Linked DNA regions of Saccharomyces cerevisiae S288C. The gene in region 1 interacts genetically with each later gene. Each region holds a gene or a part of one and is shown on either strand. Other genes may lie near its edges. The genes, in order: DAN1 and ATC1.

Evidence for each region.
Region 2: mutations in DAN1 (region 1) and ATC1 together harm fitness more than expected from each alone (negative genetic interaction), as found in Saccharomyces cerevisiae (2 studies listed by BioGRID).

The regions. Positions count from the first base shown.
Region 1 is NC_001142.9:704,122-715,525, reverse strand, and holds DAN1 (Dan1p), read left to right. Parts: upstream 1-5,818; coding exon 5,819-6,715; downstream 6,716-11,404. Other genes in the region: DAN4 (Dan4p), read left to right, coding at 1-3,271; YJR149W (putative nitronate monooxygenase), read right to left, coding at 7,152-8,366; branched-chain-amino-acid transaminase BAT2, read right to left, coding at 8,652-9,782; HMS2 (Hms2p), read right to left, coding at 10,254-11,330; YJR146W (uncharacterized protein), read right to left, coding at 11,288-11,404. UniProt on the Saccharomyces cerevisiae protein: Component of the cell wall.
Region 2 is NC_001136.10:824,918-836,267, reverse strand, and holds ATC1 (Atc1p), read left to right. Parts: upstream 1-4,754; coding exon 4,755-5,639; downstream 5,640-11,350. Other genes in the region: SND1 (Snd1p), read left to right, coding at 776-3,409; UPS3 (Ups3p), read left to right, coding at 3,795-4,334; PLP1 (Plp1p), read right to left, coding at 5,991-6,683; YDR182W-A (uncharacterized protein), read right to left, coding at 6,914-7,117; putative lipid phosphatase CDC1, read right to left, coding at 7,211-8,686; SAS4 (Sas4p), read left to right, coding at 8,913-10,358; cohesin-loading factor complex subunit SCC2, read right to left, coding at 10,492-11,350. UniProt on the Saccharomyces cerevisiae protein: Involved in cation homeostasis and in the regulation of the cation stress signaling cascades. Also involved in bipolar budding.

The DNA.
Region 1 (11,404 bases):
TTTTGACTACGGTGATTTCACTACTCGATTGACCGGTATTTCGGGTGATGAAGTAACTAGAATGATCACTGGTGTTCCGTGGTACTCTACCAGATTAAAGCCGGCTATCTCTTCAGCGCTTTCAAAGGATGGTATTTACACGGCTATCCCAACCTCTACTTCTACAACGACTACAAAATCTAGTACTTCGACTACTCCTACCACCACTATCACTTCTACTACTTCTACCACATCGACTACTCCTACAACCTCTACTACTTCTACCACTCCTACAACTTCTACCACATCGACTACTCCTACAACCTCTACTACTTCTACCACTCCTACAACTTCTACCACATCGACTACTCCTACAACCTCTACTACTTCTACCACTCCTACAACTTCTACCACATCGACTACTCCTACAACCTCTACTACTTCTACCACTCCTACAACTTCTACAACTTCTACCACTCCTACAACTTCTACCACTCCTACAACTTCTACAACCTCCACCACTTCTCAAACTTCCACCAAATCGACTACTCCTACTACTTCAAGCACATCGACTACTCCTACAACTTCTACCACTCCTACAACTTCTACAACCTCTACCGCTCCTACAACTTCTACAACTTCTACAACCTCTACCACTTCTACCATTTCTACCGCTCCCACGACCTCTACAACTTCAAGCACTTTCAGTACTTCTAGTGCCTCTGCATCCTCTGTCATTTCTACCACTGCTACAACCTCTACCACTTTTGCCAGTCTTACTACACCTGCCACATCTACGGCTTCTACTGACCATACAACCTCTAGTGTCTCAACAACTAACGCATTCACTACTTCTGCAACTACTACTACTACGAGCGATACATATATCAGTTCAAGTAGTCCCAGCCAAGTCACTTCATCCGCTGAGCCTACTACTGTCAGTGAAGTCACCTCTTCTGTTGAACCTACCAGGTCTAGTCAAGTCACTTCATCCGCTGAACCTACTACTGTCAGTGAATTCACCTCTTCTGTTGAACCTACCAGGTCTAGTCAAGTCACTTCATCCGCTGAACCTACTACTGTCAGTGAATTCACCTCTTCTGTTGAACCTACCAGGTCTAGTCAAGTCACTTCATCCGCTGAACCTACTACTGTCAGTGAATTCACCTCTTCTGTTGAACCTACCAGGTCTAGTCAAGTCACTTCATCCGCTGAACCTACTACTGTCAGTGAATTCACCTCTTCTGTTGAACCTACCAGGTCTAGTCAAGTCACTTCATCCGCTGAACCTACTACTGTCAGTGAATTCACCTCTTCTGTTGAACCTATCAGGTCTAGTCAAGTCACTTCATCCGCTGAACCTACTACTGTAAGTGAAGTCACCTCTTCTGTTGAACCTATCAGGTCTAGTCAAGTGACCACGACAGAACCTGTTTCTTCCTTCGGGTCTACTTTCAGTGAAATCACCTCTTCTGCTGAACCTCTCTCTTTCAGTAAAGCAACCACTTCCGCAGAATCTATCTCCTCTAATCAAATCACCATTTCCAGTGAACTAATAGTTTCTAGTGTAATTACTTCCTCTTCTGAGATTCCTTCTTCCATTGAAGTACTTACTTCAAGCGGGATCAGTTCATCAGTTGAACCCACTTCTTTGGTTGGACCTTCTTCTGATGAATCCATTTCTTCTACTGAAAGTCTATCTGCCACATCCACTTTCACTTCAGCCGTTGTTTCCTCGAGCAAGGCTGCTGATTTCTTTACCAGATCCACTGTTTCTGCTAAATCTGATGTCTCTGGTAACTCCTCTACCCAATCTACTACCTTTTTTGCTACGCCTTCCACTCCACTTGCTGTTTCTTCAACTGTGGTCACTAGCTCTACCGATTCAGTTTCTCCTAATATTCCCTTCAGTGAAATCAGTTCCTCTCCAGAGTCGTCTACTGCAATTACGTCTACATCCACTAGCTTCATTGCTGAGCGGACTTCTTCCTTATATCTTTCGTCATCAAATATGTCAAGTTTCACTTTAAGTACTTTCACTGTTTCCCAATCGATCGTCTCTTCATTTTCTATGGAACCTACATCGTCAGTCGCATCTTTTGCATCAAGTTCCCCTCTCTTAGTATCCTCAAGAAGTAATTGCAGTGATGCCAGAAGTTCCAACACCATCAGTAGCGGTCTGTTCAGCACGATAGAAAATGTTCGTAATGCAACCTCAACATTTACAAACCTATCAACAGATGAAATTGTCATCACGAGCTGTAAGAGTAGTTGTACTAATGAAGATAGTGTTTTGACGAAAACTCAAGTTTCTACCGTTGAAACTACTATAACTAGTTGTTCGGGTGGTATTTGTACCACGCTGATGTCTCCGGTTACTACTATTAATGCTAAGGCGAACACATTAACAACTACAGAAACTTCCACGGTCGAAACAACTATAACAACATGCCCTGGTGGTGTTTGCTCGACCCTGACTGTTCCAGTTACTACAATCACCAGCGAAGCCACTACCACCGCTACCATTAGTTGCGAAGATAATGAAGAAGATATCACTTCTACTGAAACCGAGTTGCTAACTTTGGAAACTACTATAACTAGTTGTTCGGGTGGTATTTGTACCACGCTGATGTCTCCGGTTACTACTATTAATGCTAAGGCGAACACATTAACAACTACAGAAACTTCCACGGTCGAAACAACTATAACAACATGCTCTGGTGGTGTTTGCTCGACCCTGACTGTTCCAGTTACTACAATCACCAGCGAAGCAACTACCACCGCTACCATTAGTTGCGAAGATAATGAAGAAGATGTCGCCTCTACTAAAACCGAGTTGCTAACTATGGAAACTACTATTACTAGTTGTTCGGGTGGTATTTGCACCACGCTGATGTCTCCGGTTAGTAGTTTCAACTCCAAAGCCACTACATCGAACAATGCAGAGTCGACCATCCCCAAAGCGATTAAAGTCAGTTGCTCTGCGGGTGCCTGTACCACCCTGACTACTGTCGATGCAGGGATTAGCATGTTTACCAGAACCGGATTGTCTATCACTCAAACTACTGTGACCAACTGCTCAGGTGGAACCTGTACCATGTTAACTGCACCAATCGCGACCGCTACCAGCAAAGTCATCTCACCAATTCCAAAAGCCTCCTCGGCTACTTCCATTGCTCATTCATCTGCTTCTTATACTGTCAGTATCAATACCAACGGTGCCTATAATTTCGATAAAGATAACATTTTTGGTACCGCTATCGTTGCTGTTGTCGCTTTATTACTGCTATAGTGATACAATATAATCTTCACAAGCATATAAACAATTGTAAAATAATTTAAATTGACTTGAAAGAAATTTTAAATCTATACTTGATTCATGTAGCACATAATACTACGGTTTGTGAACATACTCCTATACACTTTGAATGGTTTGTATGATATACAGGTATCTAAACATTAGTGTTACCAGTTCGTATATTAACACTAGTTAAATTTGAATCCTCTAAGGTATCGCCAACAAGTAAAATTTTACATTTAATTGAGAAGTTTTTTAATTTTTCTAAGAAAACATTAAAAATATCACAATATGGGCTTCAGCCTAAAATTATGGTTTTTTTTTTCCCTCATCCTTCATTTTATTACCTCCGTTTATTGACGTGTTCGACAACTCACATATGAAGCTTTAAATACTTTGTTCACTGTTAGTTTAAATAAAATTTAGCCTTTAGGTTAAAAATCGTGTCAAAAAAGGAATTCTTCCAAGAACATGAACTAAAGCTCTTCTTAAAATAAAGTTATGTAAGATAGAACTACGCGGCACAAAGATGGAATTGAGAAATAACGCTCCATAAAGTTGACGCTGCTAAATTCTAGGTCACAAGGCATTAGAAATGAGGGCCTTTGAAAAAATTTATTCAAGTAAACTGCTTTCTGAAGAGTTCGCTCTCATCGACATTGGTAGAAGAATAGTGTAGTGTAGTAGCAACCGTTAGTAGTTTATTAATGTCTAAAATTCAGTATAACTAAGAATAGAAGCAAGTATTCTTATACGGTATAGCAGAAACGTATAACTGATGCGGCGATGACGAATGTATTCAAAATGATGGTATTTCAGTGATTTGCTATATTTCCAATGTAATAACTCGCATCCCTACGTATATTAAATTTGAATTAACATTGAATTAATAGATCTTTAACGTAACTTCTTCCGCTAGTTTCGCAGTAGTATCTTGTTTCCTAGCCTGGAGCTATGAAGTATACTGTTTGGTCACTTTATTCAGTTACTATGGTTACTAAAATTATAAACCACCCGTTCCGACAACGACAATGAAGATCTATTTTGCAAATTTGGAACAGAAATAACCATAACCATGAGGTTCGTTATCGTTGACTACATATTACAATCCGAAATGAACATTCGGCCTAGAATGCATTGTACCTTTACAATACTTTGTAAAACATCTTTCAATGTGTATTTTCCTAGCTTAGGTAACACAACTAGGTAACTTATTGGGATGGTTGAGTCTTAAGTGCAGGCCATTTATTATCAATACTGAATCTTGTATGTTTTTGTCAACTCTTGACAGAAAGCTTCAGTCAGCGAAGCAAACTTTCGACCTTCTGTATCATATTTTTCTGCTCTATTTATAGCGAAAGAGAGAAGCCTACAAGAGGATAAGTACTAATCTTGTGATTATTGATTTTCTCCAAAGATTGGGAAAATTACTTAGTTGCACAGCGGAAATGTTTCGATCTCTGACTTTGTAATCGTCAAAATATTCTAGCAGAGCGCAACTTATTTAATTCATACTGTGCGTTCTCCTTGTGGTTTCTAAGACAATCTTTGAGCATGTTTATGGATGCACTTAGGGGTCCTACAAGCCTTCGTATGAAGTTGCCCCTCGCAAGCACACTATAAATTCATGAACAATTGCGCAGTCAAAGTTAGATTGTAAGCCGAATTCAAACGATTTCAACAGTCGTAGCTAACGAGGCCTTTTGTCTCACACCCTTACAAAGGGACTGTAGAATGCAAGGGCAAACAGGCCTGAGGTAACTTTAAAATATAATGTACCTTGAAAACTATGTATACATTGCATTTATTAAGCAGTAGGGTATTTTGTTTGCAAGAAAATAAAGCTCAAAATATCTTTGGAGTTTGACAATAGTATAGAAAAAATAGCTCAGCAACCTTAATAAAAAAAGGGTCATTGGGCAAAGCGTTTTAAAAAGATTTAAGTGGTAGTGTTTAAAGTGAAAGAGATTGATATAGTTAAAAATTGTTGAGCTCAATTCACGCTGGATTCGGCGATCCGTTTTCTTCAATCCTCACGTGCTTTCTTCGTTTGAGTGCAAAAGTTCATATGATGCTATCTCCCGCTTATCTTATTAGTCGAAAATGGGGAGAATTTCCTATTTTATCTGTCGTTTAGCACATATGGCCAGGAAAATACATAAGGTTTCGCCGAACGACGGGGTCAATTCGTCCTTTTTGTACACATCGTTTAATTTATGAGGAAAAATTGATGAATGTATCCTCCGTAGACGCTCCTCTGAAAAGTTTCATGTTTCCTGCGCGTTCCTTTGATAGGCAATAAAACAATACAACGCGTGCCTTTGAAAATGCCAAGATCTATACGAGGCCTCTAACAAAACATCGTTCAGGAACAGAGAATGCTAGAAATGCAAAAGGGTCCCTGGGTACTCATTGAATAGAAATGATTGAAAATACTGCGTATAAAATAGCACGACTAAATGATACTATTTTTATGTCGACACGGTACTATTTCTTCTTTTTCAGATAAAAGTGTAGCATACTAAATATATACCCCAAGTAATGTCTAGAATTAGTATATTAGCTGTCGCCGCAGCATTAGTGGCAAGTGCAACCGCCGCATCCGTGACCACCACTCTATCCCCTTATGATGAAAGGGTCAATTTGATTGAATTGGCTGTTTACGTTTCTGATATTGGCGCCCATTTATCTGAATATTACGCTTTCCAGGCTTTGCATAAGACTGAAACATACCCACCTGAAATTGCCAAGGCTGTTTTTGCCGGTGGCGATTTCACCACCATGTTGACTGGTATTTCAGGTGATGAAGTGACCAGAATGATCACCGGTGTGCCATGGTACTCTACTAGATTGATGGGTGCTATTTCCGAAGCACTTGCGAATGAAGGTATTGCTACTGCAGTACCAGCTTCTACCACAGAGGCTTCTTCCACCTCCACTTCAGAAGCTTCTAGTGCCGCCACTGAGTCTTCTAGCTCCTCTGAAAGTTCAGCAGAGACCAGCTCAAACGCTGCTTCCACCCAAGCTACTGTTTCATCTGAATCTAGCTCTGCTGCAAGCACCATTGCAAGTTCTGCTGAAAGTTCTGTTGCAAGCTCTGTTGCAAGCTCTGTTGCAAGCTCTGCTAGTTTTGCCAATACCACAGCTCCAGTTTCTTCTACATCTTCTATCTCAGTCACTCCAGTGGTCCAAAATGGTACTGACAGCACCGTCACAAAGACTCAAGCTTCCACTGTTGAAACTACCATAACTAGTTGTTCAAATAACGTCTGTTCAACTGTGACTAAGCCAGTCTCCTCCAAAGCTCAATCTACAGCTACTTCTGTCACATCGTCAGCATCTCGTGTTATTGACGTTACCACTAACGGTGCTAACAAGTTCAATAACGGTGTTTTCGGTGCCGCTGCTATTGCTGGTGCCGCCGCTCTATTGTTATAGTGATCATGTGCGGCCCTGTACAGTTGTATAAATGATGTAAAATAATTGAATTCTCTTAATTTTAATATTTATAAGATATATACTATAAGCGTAAGGAAATTCCAAAGAAATTTGTTTTTTAGTTTGCAGTCTTGTGCTCCAACTATTTCCGGTCCTTTTCGAATTTCATGTCAGGAGCATTCCTTATTGCAGACAGCTTAACAGAAAAAAAACTGTGAAAAAAATAAATACCTTTAGATATTAAAGCCCTAAATTGATATCAAATTTTTTCCATATTTGGATTTTGTATTCCTTAAAGCCCACATCCTGTGAACGGTTACGCTCAAATAATGGCCAAGTAACCTACGATCCAATAGCGACGTATATATATCATATAGAAAAAGGTCATCCAGAAAATTTGTGTCAATAAGTATCAGGTCTTTTATATGTATTTATATTATTTTCCGTCAATTTTCAATCTTGCGCCCATAGTTTCAATTTTCTTGTCTGTTGTGATTCCTGATTGGACATTCTGAAATCCTTGTCCAGCTAAAATAAAGTTAGCCAATTCTGGATACTTTTTTCTTACTTGCTTGAAAGCACTATACATGTAGCCATATGGAGGAAGCTCCTCACCTTGAAAATTAGCAATGACTTTTTCGATAAAAGGAGTAGAGATGGTCCTTGCAGGCTTTCCTGATATTATATTAACCATTTTAGTTGTTGTTTCTCGAGTGAAGGGGCTTGAAAAGTTTTTTGATGCATTGGATTCACTGCAACCAAGAAAAGCAGTCCCCACTTGAACAGCGTCTGCTTGCTGTGATAACATGTATGATATATCTTTGGAATCCATTATACCACCTGCTGCAATGACAAAGGGAGTAGCATGTATAAGACCTTTATTTTTCATTTCAGCAAGTTCATCAACTGTTCTTTTCACCAATTGTACAGTTGATAAGTTTTCATCATCTTTGGGGTCATTTACTAAGAAATTTCCTCTATGTCCTCCCGCTTCATAGCCTTGACACACTATGCCATTAATGCCGAGACGTGCTAACAATCGAACTTCTCTTACAGAGGTGGCAGTCACAAAAATTAGAATTCCAATTTTTTGTAAATATTCTATTGTAGATTTCGACGGATGGCCAAAATGGAAACTAATGATTTTAGGCCTAAAGCCATCTGATAGGTACTGGAAAAAATCTTGAAGAGCATTTTCTTTTTCAAATGCCTTAAAAGATACATTACCATTATCGAATTTAATCTCATTCATATCAATCGGCACATTCATAGACTTTCTGTATAGCTTCGCCCAGTTAGCTGTTTGAAGATCGGTCGGTTTATCAACGATATCATGGCAAAAAAAGTTTAGGTTGAGATTGCCCTCTAAAGATTCATCGGCTACTTGATCTCTGAATTGTGAAACCATCAGTTTAAGCTTTTCAATATCATTGACCTTTCTGAAGTCTAAGTGGGATAGGGGTAGTGAAGCTATGGCGCCCGCAATACAAGCCTTAGCGGCCATTTCAATAGTCGTGACCCCCGCCATAGGGGCCTGGATGATAGGGTATCTCAAGTTTAAACATTTTTGGAAAGATCTGCTCATATCTTCTCTTTTATCCACCGACATTACGGAAACGTCTTGAAATATTAGTTGGTTTAAAAAGTACATGAATTGTCTTGAGTTGCTTCTAAGGTATGTATGGGCCCTTTTCTATCCGCGCAAAAGATGTCCTTGATACCGATAGGCCAGCACTAGATGACAAGAAAAAAAACGAAAGGATAATTGCAGGTTTCGACATACATTTTTTATCAGATCACTGCAAAATCCAGGAATTCATATATACAATGTCAAAGGGTATGTTATATTCTGACATGACCCCTTAACTCAGTAGAAAAAACGCTCTAGTTTTATTCTTTTTAACTTTTAATTACTTTACGTAGCAATAGCGATACTTCAGTTCAAATCAGTAACAACCCTTGACCAATTGCCATGCTCAGTCTCGCCATATTGGATTCCATTAATCCATTGTGCAACTTCTTTGGCCAATGGACCGGTTTGTTCGCCGGGCAACAACGGAATATTAATTTGTTCGCCTTTCCAGCCGATTTCCTTAATGGGAGAAACAATCGCAGCAGTACCAGAACCAAAGGCTTCAAGTAGTTCACCGTTCTTGGATCTCTCAGTAACTTCGCCTATAGTGAAGTAGCGTTCACTAATGGTCCATTCACTTGGTTCGAGTCTTTCTTTAGCAAGATTTAAAATGGAATCCCTAGTAACACCTTCCAAAATGGTACCGTCTAGTGGAGCAGTAACTAGTTCCTTCTTGCCCGTTTTACTATCTTTAAACACGAAAAAAGCATTCATGGTGCCGACTTCAGTAATGTTGTTATTTGGACCAAATAGCCATAAATTTTGTTGGTAACCCCTTGAAGCAGCTTGCAATTGTGGCAGGACGCAGGGGGCGTAGTTTGCACCTAGTTTCTTGTCACCACAGCCTCCTGGCCAAGCTCTTGTGGCATAATCAGTGGCTTCCAGTCTGACCGCCTTAAATCCAGTTTTGTAATAAGGACCCACAGGGCAGCAAATGACATATAGCAAGGCTCTATCAGGCGTGGAAACCCCTAAACCGGCCGTAGTGCCGATTAATGTAGGCCTGATATATAAAGAGTAACCTTTTCCTTCAGGAACTAAGCACTTATCTTGCTGGATCAGTTTCCCAATTAGGGTAATCAACTCTTCTGGGTCGAACGTTGGCAAACAGATTCTCTGAGCAGACTTATTCATGCGCTTCATATTCATATCTGGACGAAACATTGTAATTTTGTTGTCCACCGTTCTGTAAGCCTTCATCCCTTCGAATAGCTCAAAAGCATAATGGAAAACCACCGCGGAAGGGTCTAAAGACAGATTTTGATAAGGTTTAATCTCTGGGGTACCCCACCCTTTTTCAGCTGTCCATTCCGCAGTTAACATGTGGTCCGTGAAGCTCTTGCCAAACACTAACTCACTGTTCGGTTTTGGCTTAGATGCATGTTGTGTGGTAGTTATCTTAACTTTGGAGGCGTCTAGGGGTGCCAAGGTCATATCGTTCTTAAAACTCGTGGAGATGCTTTCCCTTAAATTTCTAAAATTTTAGTAGTTAGTCTGTTTTTATTAAGGATTTCTCAAAGGAATGAATTTTTTCCCAGGAAATAGTCGAATATCTTGTAAGCTTATATTAGTTATACTGTCAGCTCATTTCGGATCTCCTCTCACTCACGTACGGCTCTTAATTTCTACCTATTATTTCCGTTTTTGTTGACAGAAAAACGGACATAGAAGAACGACACCAAAAAGAAAAAGAGTCGGATCTACAGATTAGATAACAAGAGGTGTCAGAGAGGGAAAAGAAGCTAAATTAAGTGTCACCCGAAAGCGGAAAAAGAACGCCGTTTGCAAGAATGGTTCCGGGGCCAATGGAACATTAAACTTTGGTGTAGTGCGGTCACAGAAAAAAAAAATCGTACACGTATATAGTGGTATGCTAGGTCGTGAATGACCCTCAGAGGCAGGTTTTCACGTTCGAAGATGTTTGGAAAGGAGCGTTATAAGTTGTGTTGGGGTGAAGGGGCTAACTAGGATGTCACTGAACCCCAACTGCAAAAAATGGTGGAAATAATAGCGAGAGTAGTTGGAGGGAGCAATGCTGGTATCTTGAGGGGAGACGGGTCTGTTAATAATGGCTATTACAGGAAAGCTTGGGAGTAGGTTTCTCAGTCTCTTGAAGTAGATGAGATGTTCTTGTTGCATGTTGGGCGACACGGTGACGAAAAGAAGGTCGTATGCCTCGGGATGCAACTGCGGGTGCCACTGAGTGGCCGTATCCAAAGAGCAGTTCATAAATTCGAACACGCCGGCGAAGCGCATCAAAGGTGTTTCTGACAATTCGGATGCGTTTGGTATTAGTAACAGCAACGAGTAGCGTTTGGGGCGCTTTGGTTGGCGTTGCTGGTGTTGTAGACAAGAGTCCGGGCATACAACCTTTTTGATGGCTTCAAAATTTTCTTGAAGGAAGTTAGCGGTTTGGTAGGCGTGAAACTGGTGGTAGGAGATTGTCTGTAAGCTGGCGTTAATTTCCCTTATAATACGCAGACTATCTGCGTTTGTCGACTTAAGCTCATCAAGATTGCCCTGAAGCCTGTCAACATTTTTCACTAATTTCTCGAAGGAAGGCTTGCCGATGGCCTTGCTTAGAATGGAGTTCACTTTGAAAGGGTCCCAGTGAAAAGTACACTGCTTATTCATATTATTGACGGCGGCGACATTGGGAGTGGCGGCAGACTGATGAGCTTTAACCAGTGAGAGGCTATTAATGTTATCTTTTTGAAAATGAATGTTGGAAAACTCCACGCAGTCCGGGCGGCCCGCCTTCTGGAAGTTATATTTGCTCAATTGCTTAACGAATGCTGCAAAGGTGTGAATACCAAAAAATCGCTCTAGGATGACTTTGGTGAACTGGTCCGGATTCCAAATGACGAGCTTGCTGCCATCAGTCGACCATTGTATTATGTTCGAGTAAGCGTTCCCCTGCAGCAGGTGGTAGAGTTTGCTTACAAAGACATCAGGCTGCTCCATCCTCGATGTTGCATCCATGTCTGACGTGCGTCGCTACACGAAAGAGACACACTTGGCGACTGCCCTGACTGGCAATATATACAGTCCGCAAA
Region 2 (11,350 bases), on another chromosome or scaffold:
ACCGAGCGAAAATTTTGCCACCAAAGCAAAACTCCCGTAAACAGTGATCCACGGCCCGTATCCATTCTGCCGCAGAACCCACACCTCTCACTCTATCGAAAAACAGCCTACTCCCAGGGTCCCCAAAATGAAAGCTCACTGCAATGGGAAACGATAATCACAACAAGGGAATGCAATTAAAGAAAGATATACGGTACACGAAAGGGAGAAGCGACGGCGTTAACCTATTTGCAAACGACCGAGTCAGACAGCTCAGGTCCAGTCACGTTAAAGTGGGTTACTTTGAGCTGAGGTGTGCGGTTGCGGGGCGTGGGTGTGCGCGCCGTTGCCATGCTTACCGTTCTCGTTGCGCTCGTTGCTCGTATTGCCTCGTCTGTTCTTGTCTCGTAGCTTTTTTATTATTTGGGTTAATCGCGTTGTTGAACAAGAAAGTATGATAGTTGTTGAACCGGCCCCTCGTCCCGTTCTATCTTTCTACGGGTGTCGTGTCTATTATTTTATTGTTTTCCTACTAAGGTTCTTTGCTATTGTTCTTTTAATTTTTGGTTTGTAGCTGACTACACGTTTCAAACCCAATCTTGGCAGCCCGGATCTTCATCACTCAGCTTTTCCCTACTTTTTTTTTTTTTCGTTTCCTTTTTCTTCTTTTCTTTTTCTATTTAAGAGAGAAGTTGGCGAACTTGAAGTACACATACACGCTCTCCCTCGCATCCCGGAGCTCGCAATCAACCACTATTACTAATCACATCCTAAATTTTGGGAAGCCTACACTACGATGGACACTGTCGGTACGGACGCAGCAGCCGCGAGCATTAATGAGCGTCGCTTTGCCCAGTCCACTTCACCAAAAGTTAGTGTGAAGTCACAGGACTCGCTGTTTCTGATCACTTACTCCAACATGCAGCAGACAGTGGTACAAGCGTCTTTGGCGGACCGGTACCCTTCGCTAAAGAAGCTTAACATCCTACTTTACATAGATATCCCTACGATCGACTACTACAACGATGAGATGACTCATAACAAGCTTTCCAGACTGAATAAACGGTTTAAGCTGCATCGGCTTAGAAATTCGATCGCGCAAAGTTTTTCCAACACATCTACTGCGGAAGATAACGATAAGTTTTGGGAGGAGTTGAAAAGTCTGATCAGCTCTCGCAGCACACCGGAAAACAAGTTTGATCTGAATGTACTGGTGTCGTCTTCGGGGTCTTTACGTTACGTGGAGACCATAAGATTTTTGGTTGAAAAATTGTTTAATTCTTTCAAAGACTTGTATGTTCAAAAGAAACTAAACCTATGTTTCCAGATCAACGTTTCTCCCACCTCTCTCAAGTGGTTTTCTACTTTCCTGAACGCAGAACTGCTTAATTTAAAAATCATTAATTGGCAGAATATTGGTTCTTTCACTAAGACAATCCAGAACTCCAAGTCACTCCCGTTCAAAGAGTACTACACCAAGTTGAACGAGAAATTCACCGGCTCAAACCAGAGCAATGGTAGCATGCAAGACCAGACTGTCTTGGATTCCATAGTTATTGTCACGAATAGCACGGGGGTAAAAGCACTGCTGACTTTGTTGTCAGACCACCCTCTCACCAGCCTTATCTCCCAGGAATCAATAAAAGCGCTACATGAATATTCAGATGCTGTTAACGAAGATAAGGGCGACGACCAGAGCAACACAAGTTTGAAAAGAAACTCTTCGTCGTTGTTGAATTTTCAAAACTCGGTTTTAACCTCCAATAAAGACAAGTCCGTCAGAATTAGGTCGTTGTCTATCAACAGAAAATCCAACAGGGCACATATGTTCAAAACGAACGAATCCATCACAACTATCCCATCAACGTCAATCAACAATCTTATTGGTCAGGAATCCAACCTACGCAAGCAGCCTTCGGGAACTGCACTGCATTTACAATCGCATCTGCATCCACATTCCCGTTCACAATCCTATTCTAGTTCTAATATGTCCAGATCGCCTTCTCCCTTCCCCTACGGAAAGACACCATCAAACGACGAACTAGTATATGACGAGTTAAACAACCAAATCAACGAAGTGCAAGACCGTGCTAAGAATGAGGAAATTGTCCTGTACAACAATAATAATTATGACGATTATACAAAAGAACGAGGGGAACAAGAGCAGGATAGAACCTCATACGCAGATGAATATGGCTTTAATTACGATGATGAAGAAGGTGGAAATGAAGACAACTATGATGATGATGAAGACGATGATGACGATGATGACGATGACGATGAGAGTGACGATGAAGGTTTGAGCTTTTACGCTCCAAGCATTTTGTCCCGCTCTGGTTCGAGCACAGACGTGTTATCCTCCGGAATAGATTCTATGGCAAAAAATTCGAAGGAAACAAGGGGTAGGTTTAGGTCCTTGAGTTTAATGGACCCTGCTCTGCAAAAGCCGTTCAACCAGAAATTTCCAAACAGCCAACAACCCGATTCTGCAGGGGCTTCATCACCTAAAAGATCGACCTCTTCAAACCATTTTACTAACGTCTACGTGCACGATGGTGATTTTGACGGGACAGACACTATCAACAACAAAAAGAATCTATCGTCTGCAACGCTTATTAAAAGGAAATCTTTGATGAACAGAAACTTGGCTCCTTCTATTAGTAATGGATTGATACCTCCGGAATTTATTTCCCGAATATCTACGCCCTCTACAAGCGCAAGTAGTTCAAACTCCTCGTTGAATGACATGTCTACAGTATCAAACGCATTTTCCAAATTATTAAATGACACAAGTAAGAAGCAAAAATTCTTGAATTCACCAATTCCACAACATACACAACAGGCATCTCCATTACTAATGAGAAATAATTCAAACAGTAACTTGCTATTTGAGAAGAATTTGATCAACAAGTCATTTGAAGAACTGAGAAGACAACCATCAGTTAACCTTTTTAGCACCTTGATGAATGGTAACATGGAAAAGAATGGTTTGGCACTAAACTTCAAGTCCAGAACGCCTACAGATGCGTTGATGGCGAATAGCATTAAAAATAGTAACAATTCCAGTCATAGGTTACTAAATCTCGAGGAAGAAGACCAAATCATGTCTGGATCTCTCCCCAAAGAACGCGAGGACGATAACGATTCGACTAATAGCACAATAGTACCGAATCACCCAGACAATGATAACTATAATGATAATGATAACGACAATAATACTGGTATAAATTCCAATAATTTCAATCTAAATCTCTATGATGACAATGATAGTGCAGGCTTTACAGATGTAACAACTGAAGGAGTGAAATACTCAAACTCGAATTCTACAGTCACCAAACCCGTTTATAAAAAAGCCGTCACCCTGGATTTATACGGCGAAGATGATATGGATAACATGGGAGGATGGGTATTAGGAGGTAATGCCCGGTAAAATAATCACCTGAAAAAAACTAGGTTAAGCACAAGGCAAGGGAAAAAGCCAAATTACACATATACTTGATTATAAATAGATTAGTAAAACATATATTCTAAATTAAAACAGCACTTTAACCGATATTGTATTTTTTTTTTTGGGTTTACGTGATACTGCGTAAATCTTCAATTTTCAGGGCTTTGTCCGCAAGGGGCCCGTTTATTTATCAAAAAAAGTAATGAGATTTTCGAAGAAAGTTCATAAACCTATAGATCTTGTTACATTTGGCAAGAAAACAATAAGTGGGATCTGCGGTCCAAGCAACGCATTTTCTTTTCTCTAATCGACAAGTTCAAGTAAATATTTCTATTAGTCATATATCTCTCGAGCTTATATATTAATAATGAAATCATTTCAAAAATCTTATGAATTCGATTACCCATGGGAGAAAGTCACCACGGCGAACTGGATGAAATATCCAAACAAGATCTCCACACACGTTATTGCAGTCGATGTGCTCCGCCGAGAGCTCAAAGAACATGGCGATGTACTTCTTACAGAACGGCTGATAACCATACGTCAGAACACCCCTCACTGGATGTCCATTTTAGTGGGGAACACTAATTTAGCATACGTGCGAGAGGTCTCCACCGTTGATCGAAGGGACAGATCTTTAACTATGAGGAGTTGCAATATGACCTTCCCGCATATTTTGAAGTGTTACGAAACCGTACGTTATGTTCCTCATCCGAAAAATCCATCGAATGTGACTCTTTTCAAGCAGGATGCAAAGTTTCTGTCTGGTGTTCCGACCAAAACCTTTAGTGAGAAAGTAGAAAACTGGGGCGTTAAACGTTTTAGTGATAACGCGGTGAAGGGGAAAGTCGGGTTTGATAGTATTCTAGCAATGTTCAACGATATCTGGAAAAATGCTAACGAATAAAAAAAAATACATCTTTTCTCAAGCATTTTTTCTCAAGCATTTTTTCTCAAAAAAATAAGGATTTATAGCCTCTTTGCATATAACTACACTCAGAAACTCAAAAATAAGTGAATAGATTAATTTGCCAAAATAGTTTCTATAGCGTGTCTTTCTCTTTTTGCAAACTCGTGTCATCTTGATATAAATCAAATATTTTCTGTCATTTTTTTTTCTCTTTTTTTTCAGTTTCTAGAATTTTTTTTTTCCACTTTAGCGATGAGATGAAAAATTTCCAAAAAACATGCGGTACGGTATTTTCAATGAAAAATTTCAGAGGGCTAGTGCCCTATTGAAGAGCTCAATACTTGATTGAAGTTTTGACATCTTAAATTTTGTTGGTTCAAGTTACACTAAGGTTGTGATAGGGAAAACGTGAAGATAATGAACACGAATCAGTCCAATCCGAATACAGATTTAACAGATGATGCCAATATAGAACATACGTTGCATCGGCTGCTCACTCAGGCAAATAATCATTTTGATGATACAGTAAAGATTGATGGGCAGAGTTTAGATTTGGGAAAGGATCTCGAACAAGTTATGATGGATAATTTAGACTGCACTGATATTTTTGATTCCGACATCGCTTCTCAGAAACACCTAACATTGGAATCTTTATTTAACGATGAACACAACACCGATTCGAGCACACTTTTGGAAATGCAGAGAAGTGCTAATGATAGCCTAGTTGGTATTGATCTCGATAGGCATAAAAAGGGTTATACTGGCAAGGCATCATTAGATAAAAGTACAAACCAAAATAACGTACATAAACCTGATAAAGAACAAAAGAACTATAAGATAGATAAACCCACCATCAAGAAGAAAAAATCCCTTTTGAAAACCACAAATGAACCCATGTTATCCCCTGCATCCCTATCACCTTCATCTTCGTTAGCTTCATCCGACGCTAATGAATCCCACCTAAAAATAGAATCCATGATTACTGATATAACATCTAAAATAGATTCTGCAAGACAAGACATTGTATCTGCAACGAAGCCTGCTAAGTTCACAAATGAGTTTACAATAAGTCAAATTTCGGAAATGAAGGCAAGAATAATTAATACTCATAAATTGCTGCTCAATTTCAATTTTATTAAAGAAGGTTACGCGAGATCTTGTATTCAATTGAAAAAATCTATGGACTCTTTAAAGGATAGTGAAATTCACAGAGCACATTTATTGGTTGAGAATGATGACTTGAAGCAACAAATCCTAGAACTTACTCAAAAACTCAATGAAAAATCATCCAAGGAAAGTTAAATTTAGAGTTAGTTCTGCTAAGTTTATCTGCATTTATTGGTTTTTTTGTCTTTACTACAAAGATGGTCCAATTTTATATACAATATACACTACCTTTCTCAGTCATCGTTATTCGTACTCAACTTTTATTATTTTAAGGAACACAGTCGCATTTTTGAGTTTCATGTATAAACATTACTATACGCATATTTCGTATTTAACTTTCTATAAATCCCCCAAAACGTTTTATTAAATTTTCAACGGTACGCTCGAATAACCGATTTAGTTTGAACAGGAGGAACCATTTTCGCTCATGCGTATGGCTTAAAAGACCATCGAGTCATTTTTAGTAGGGAGGTAATGGTTATTTAGTTATATATCTAAATCACTATCACTTTCACTTCTATCATGATTTGTAGAAGCGAAGCGTTCCGTATTCACAGATGAATGCTTTCTTATTTCGAATGTGTCTTCTATAACACCTGAATGGGCTAAAGATTGCTCTAGCCTCCTAATATCAAACCCATTAGGGTCATTTCCCAGTTTACTAAATCCTACGTAGCGAACTTTTTCTAGGCCATTCTTGTATCCAACTACAAACGGAAGTACTTTAATATTCAGTTTATTAACCAAAAATGGACATGTTTGGACGTTTACTTTAATAAATCTCGTGGTTAGATACCTCTTTGCCAAGTTTTCCAGTTTTTCATTCATATACTGGCACTTACCGAATGTTTCTAATTCAAAATGTATGACCACCATAGTAGTCTTTGTACATATTTGGATAGCATCTGCCTCGTTATCAATGCACTGCAATCTACCGTATCCGTCATCCTCAACATTCTTCTTGACCTGTTTTAAATGATCTGATATTTGTTGTAGCCTCTCCGACCGATAAGCACTCAAAAATTCATGATCCTCGTCTAATTCTCTATCCAATTCATTAAGTAGTTCATCTAAATTTTCCTCGCCACTACTTTTGTCATCGCTATCGACAGTTGTGTGTTTATCCTTTTCAGCATTTGAAAGCACATTTGTGTAGTATCTGTCTAATTTATCTTCCATATTAATTTAATCTTCATATACGTATGAGTTGTTAAGAGAATGGAGTATTTTCGTTAATCTTTTGTACTTCATCCTACTTTCGTGTTTTTTAAACTCTAAAAATTACACTACTATGATCACTATATTGCTATGGAATAATAAAAAGCAAAAACGAAAGATTGAAAGGAAAGTCGTCCTTTTGTATCCATCTTTTAAACAAAGCTTACAAAGAAATTTGCCGTCATGACTTGCTAAATTTGATATAAAACTAAAGGAACCAACAACTTACCTAGGTGTTCTTTTTTGTCCCCGTATAGTGAAGTAATTGGTGTTACGCCCAGTCCTGCAGTTTTAGCTTGGACCACAAAACATAATGCAAATCCAGTAGAGGTTATGCAAACTGTTTGGTGAGCATAGTAATACCACACCCGGTATAATTTATATCTCTTGTTCATTGTCTGTATATAAGGTGTATTCGCATATATTAAATAGCCAGACGTTTCCCTTCAAAGCATTTTGATCCTGGAAGAGAATAGCAGTAATTCTGTCTAGACTACAGTATAAAAATAAATAAAAATGGGCATCACAGAAACAAAAAGGACAATTGCATTAACTAGAAATTGTTTGATCGAACGCGTATCATTCACAGCGTATTTACTATGTGTCAATGATTTTTTGGATTTCGATTTGGAAATACTTGTAGGTAATGGCAAATCTGAGGTGTTACCATCAGGTCGTGTAAATACTCTGTTCATTATGGTTGCTACGCGATTATTAAAAGATTTTGGGAAAAAATGCATGTATGCGATAAAGGCAGCAGAGAATAATAATCCCCATAGGTACATTCTGATTGCCTTATAGGGATCTGGCATATAGCATAGCTCTGTTTGGTAAGTTTTTGATGCATACTCTCCGCCGGCATTTACCATTGTCAAATCTGAAGGATTATATAAGGAGAGCAATTGAATAGCAGGCCTACTGATCCCCATGTTCATTGCACATGACTTTACTGTAATTTCTTGAGCATTTTTAGTTTTCCCCTGAAACGGATATGAGTGTGATATCTGACAATGGTCATGATCATCCCCGGAAAATAATATTTCTGGTTGAATTTTCGTTAAAATTTCTTGTGATATATCGTTTTCTATAACTGTCTGGTACTGGTGCCCTTTCTGAATAGGAAAAGGTTCTTTGGATTCACGTAGCTGACCGCACGTTTGCTGTTCTGGATCCCTCCATAATGGAACGTGAGTTAAAAGAATTCTAGGAAGCGGATGTGAACCCATTGCAAAATTATCCAAAAACTGTCTAGGAACCCTCGAGACATTCGGATTTGTTTTATCAGAAAGCGAAATTGTATCTAAAAGTACAAAGGTATGATTTCCAGCGTCTAATGAGGAGGAAGTTTCTCCAAAGTAACTAGAAAATCTCTGTAAACTCGATTCAACAACTGTGTCTCCAAAACCAATATCGTGATTACCTGGTAAAGACATGACCGTTCTTCTCAGTGGCTTCTTGGGGAATATTTGGTTGAATCGTGTGTACTCTTTAATCCATTGCTTATCATCCCAGTTTCTCCCTCCATCAAATAGATCACCTAGGAAAAAATTGCTATCAGGATCCAAGTAATACTGGACATATTTCCAATTTCTCCTGTGATAATGGTCAACAATCACTCTTGTAAAATAATTAACTATTTGAGGCCTCCCAGGATATGAATATTCGTCCATTATTTGTGGGTCTGCAAATAAACCCACCCTATGACTTTCAGCGCCTTCAGGCCAATCCTCCCAAGTCGACCATTGGCACTTCTTCATTGCTCTCTTCACAACCACTGATTCATAATAAGATATTAATCCTAACCATAAGATCCATACAATAGATATGTATCTCCAGTAGATTCTTAACCTCTTCTTGCTCCTGCTTTTTGATTTCTTTTTCGAACGTGATTTATAGTGGGCCTTATCGTCGCTCTTCTTGCTGTGTGTAGATAAAACGCTCTTTGACCTGTTACGATATACCATACTTCCTAGAGCTTATTGTCTAATGTATCCAACAGATTAGTAGAAGCGGTACTGTTTTCCCTTTCTTTTTGGTTATTGTTGTTTCCATAATCGTTCGTTCTACATTTTTAAAAATAAGAAAATCTAACCCGCGAGTTGATTTCAGCGATCTCAAAACAAAAAGTAGCAAGATTAAAAAGGAAAACCGAAAATTTCTACAGCATTAAAAGCATATGAGAGTTCATCAATGGGTATTTTTCAATCAATAGAAGAAGCAAATAATACTTCTGAGAGATTGCTGAGGTCTGAGATTAAAAATAGTCATGGAGAATTTGAAAAATTCGATTTTGATACAGAAGAATACGAAATTAACCCTAAAAGGAAGTTAAGATTAGTCAGCAGGATAAACCCAAATGCTGGACATCTAAGGAAATCTAAGTCCTGCTTTACTGTAGATGAGCATGTTGACGAAACGCGTTGTCAGAAACCTGTGATGAAGTCGCCGTTCATGAGTAATGTCGATGATGAGATCAAGAAAAAGAGAGAGACAATTACAAAGATGACACTAGAAATTGAACATCATGAATTGAGCCAGAATATTAGAAAACCAACTGATGATTTGCTTCCTGATAGCACGTATCAGCCTTACCACAAGAAAATGTTGAAGCAAGAAAATAGAATGATTCAATCGGACATCGTAAATGGTGAAAATGAAGCAGACAGGCTTTCATTAATTTCAGACAGACTGGGTATGTTGAATTGGGAAGTAACATTACAGAAGGTTACTAAAATAAATGACCCCACTGACGAGAATGAAATGGAGACTAAACGTTACCAAACTAAAGAGCTGATTGATTCAATGTTACATAAATTTGAATCTATGAAAAAAAAAAGCCGCAATTTAGCTAGAAGGCCAGCCTCAAGTGATTCATTGTTGAAATTGGTTAGTGGCAAAGATTGGCCCAAGATATATACTCGAATCGATCGAACTTTTATTCCAGATTACGCAAGCTCCTCTGACGAAGAAGAAGAAAAAATAACCGTTGAGGAAATAAGGGAGAGACGCCTAAAGAAGAGAGAGCAGCAATGCGGTGGTTCCATTATAGTACTGCTGAGCGATCATCAATCACAAAAGGGAATGACACGGTTTGCTATCGTAGCTGAGCCGCTCCGAAAACCGTATTTGATTAAAACCTCCACTAAAGAGAGAAATTCATGGAAAAACAAAGTTCCCACAAATCCAAAAAAATTCAAGAAAGCTCCTCGAATATCAACGCAAATTGCTGTGAAAAGAAGAAGGGAAGTCATCCCGTTAACGATGGAGGTGGAACCAGAAGTCATTCGGGATATAAGGCAAGATACACAAAAGTCTATGAAACTGAATGTTAAAGCGGAGGAAATATCTGTGACAGAGACTGTCAAATCAAAAGAAATGAATGCCTTAAGGAACAATGCTGCATCTATAAGTCCAACTCTTTCAGAGAAGGCACCTTTAGGTTCAATTTCATCTTGCACTGCATCTCAGATTTCACAAAGGTCTTCTGAGAATGTGGGTGCTATTATTAACAATATCAACCCAAACTTAGCAATAGTGCCCTCTTGTAACGAAAAGACCTTTGTAAAAACACACAATGGAATGAAAACTAACTCAGGTATTAATATTTTGCCTGTCCGCAAGAAAAAAAAGGTTTAGTTTGAACTAATATAATGCGATGGTGTAAATGAAATTCAATATTTCATAGTTGCTTCTCAAAACCTGCGTGAAAAATCAGCATGGAAAATGCAAAATGATTATTAATACTATGTATATTTTAAGTGCAATATATTTACGTATCCTTCACGTGTTTTCTAAAATATGTAAGAAGCTTGCCATTTGATGAATACTGTTCAATATTCTCCAACTGTGCGGAAAACTTACTGATATCCGGCTTCTTTGCAGGGAGTTGTTTGTTCTTCAATTCTGATTCTTCTACAATATCTAATAAAAGCACATCATCCCTTAACCCGTATAAGTGCAGTAGATAAGTACCCAAATCCTGTAAGCTTAACTGTATTAAAATTATTCCACTGAGCTTTTCTTCTGATACGGATAGCGATGAAACATTGTCACCTATTTCATCCATGATAACCTCTTTTAATCTATCTGTAGTTAAATCAATGGTTTTGAGTAGGGACACCAAATCGTACTGAGAAACAAATGTGATATTCGAAATGTTAGTGCAGAGAACGAAAATGGACTTTTGAACACTACTATTTGTTGATGTTAAATCGGTGATATCATCTAAATAGGATTGCATGATTCTCTTCAGAACTTTAAAGAACTTTGGGCCATTTTTTTTTCCAGTTCCACATAATTTTTCAAGTAAAGACAAAAAATGATCGTGCTTGTAATAATACTTCTCATCTGTATGAATAGAATAATGTATAGCTTTTGTAACCCCTCGAGATAAACTACTGAATACTAGCGTTTCGTATTTCTCAAAAAGATCTTCTAACAACTCATAGGCGACATGACGAATATACTGGCTAGTAGAGGCAAATAAAGCAATTACAGTTGGAATTGAATGAGAGGGATTTGTGTAACCAAATTTCAAAATCAACTTTAATAATCGAATAGCTACGAGAGAATTCTTTAGATCACGTAGGAGACATAGTTGGAGAATATTGTCTAAAAATCTAGTAGCC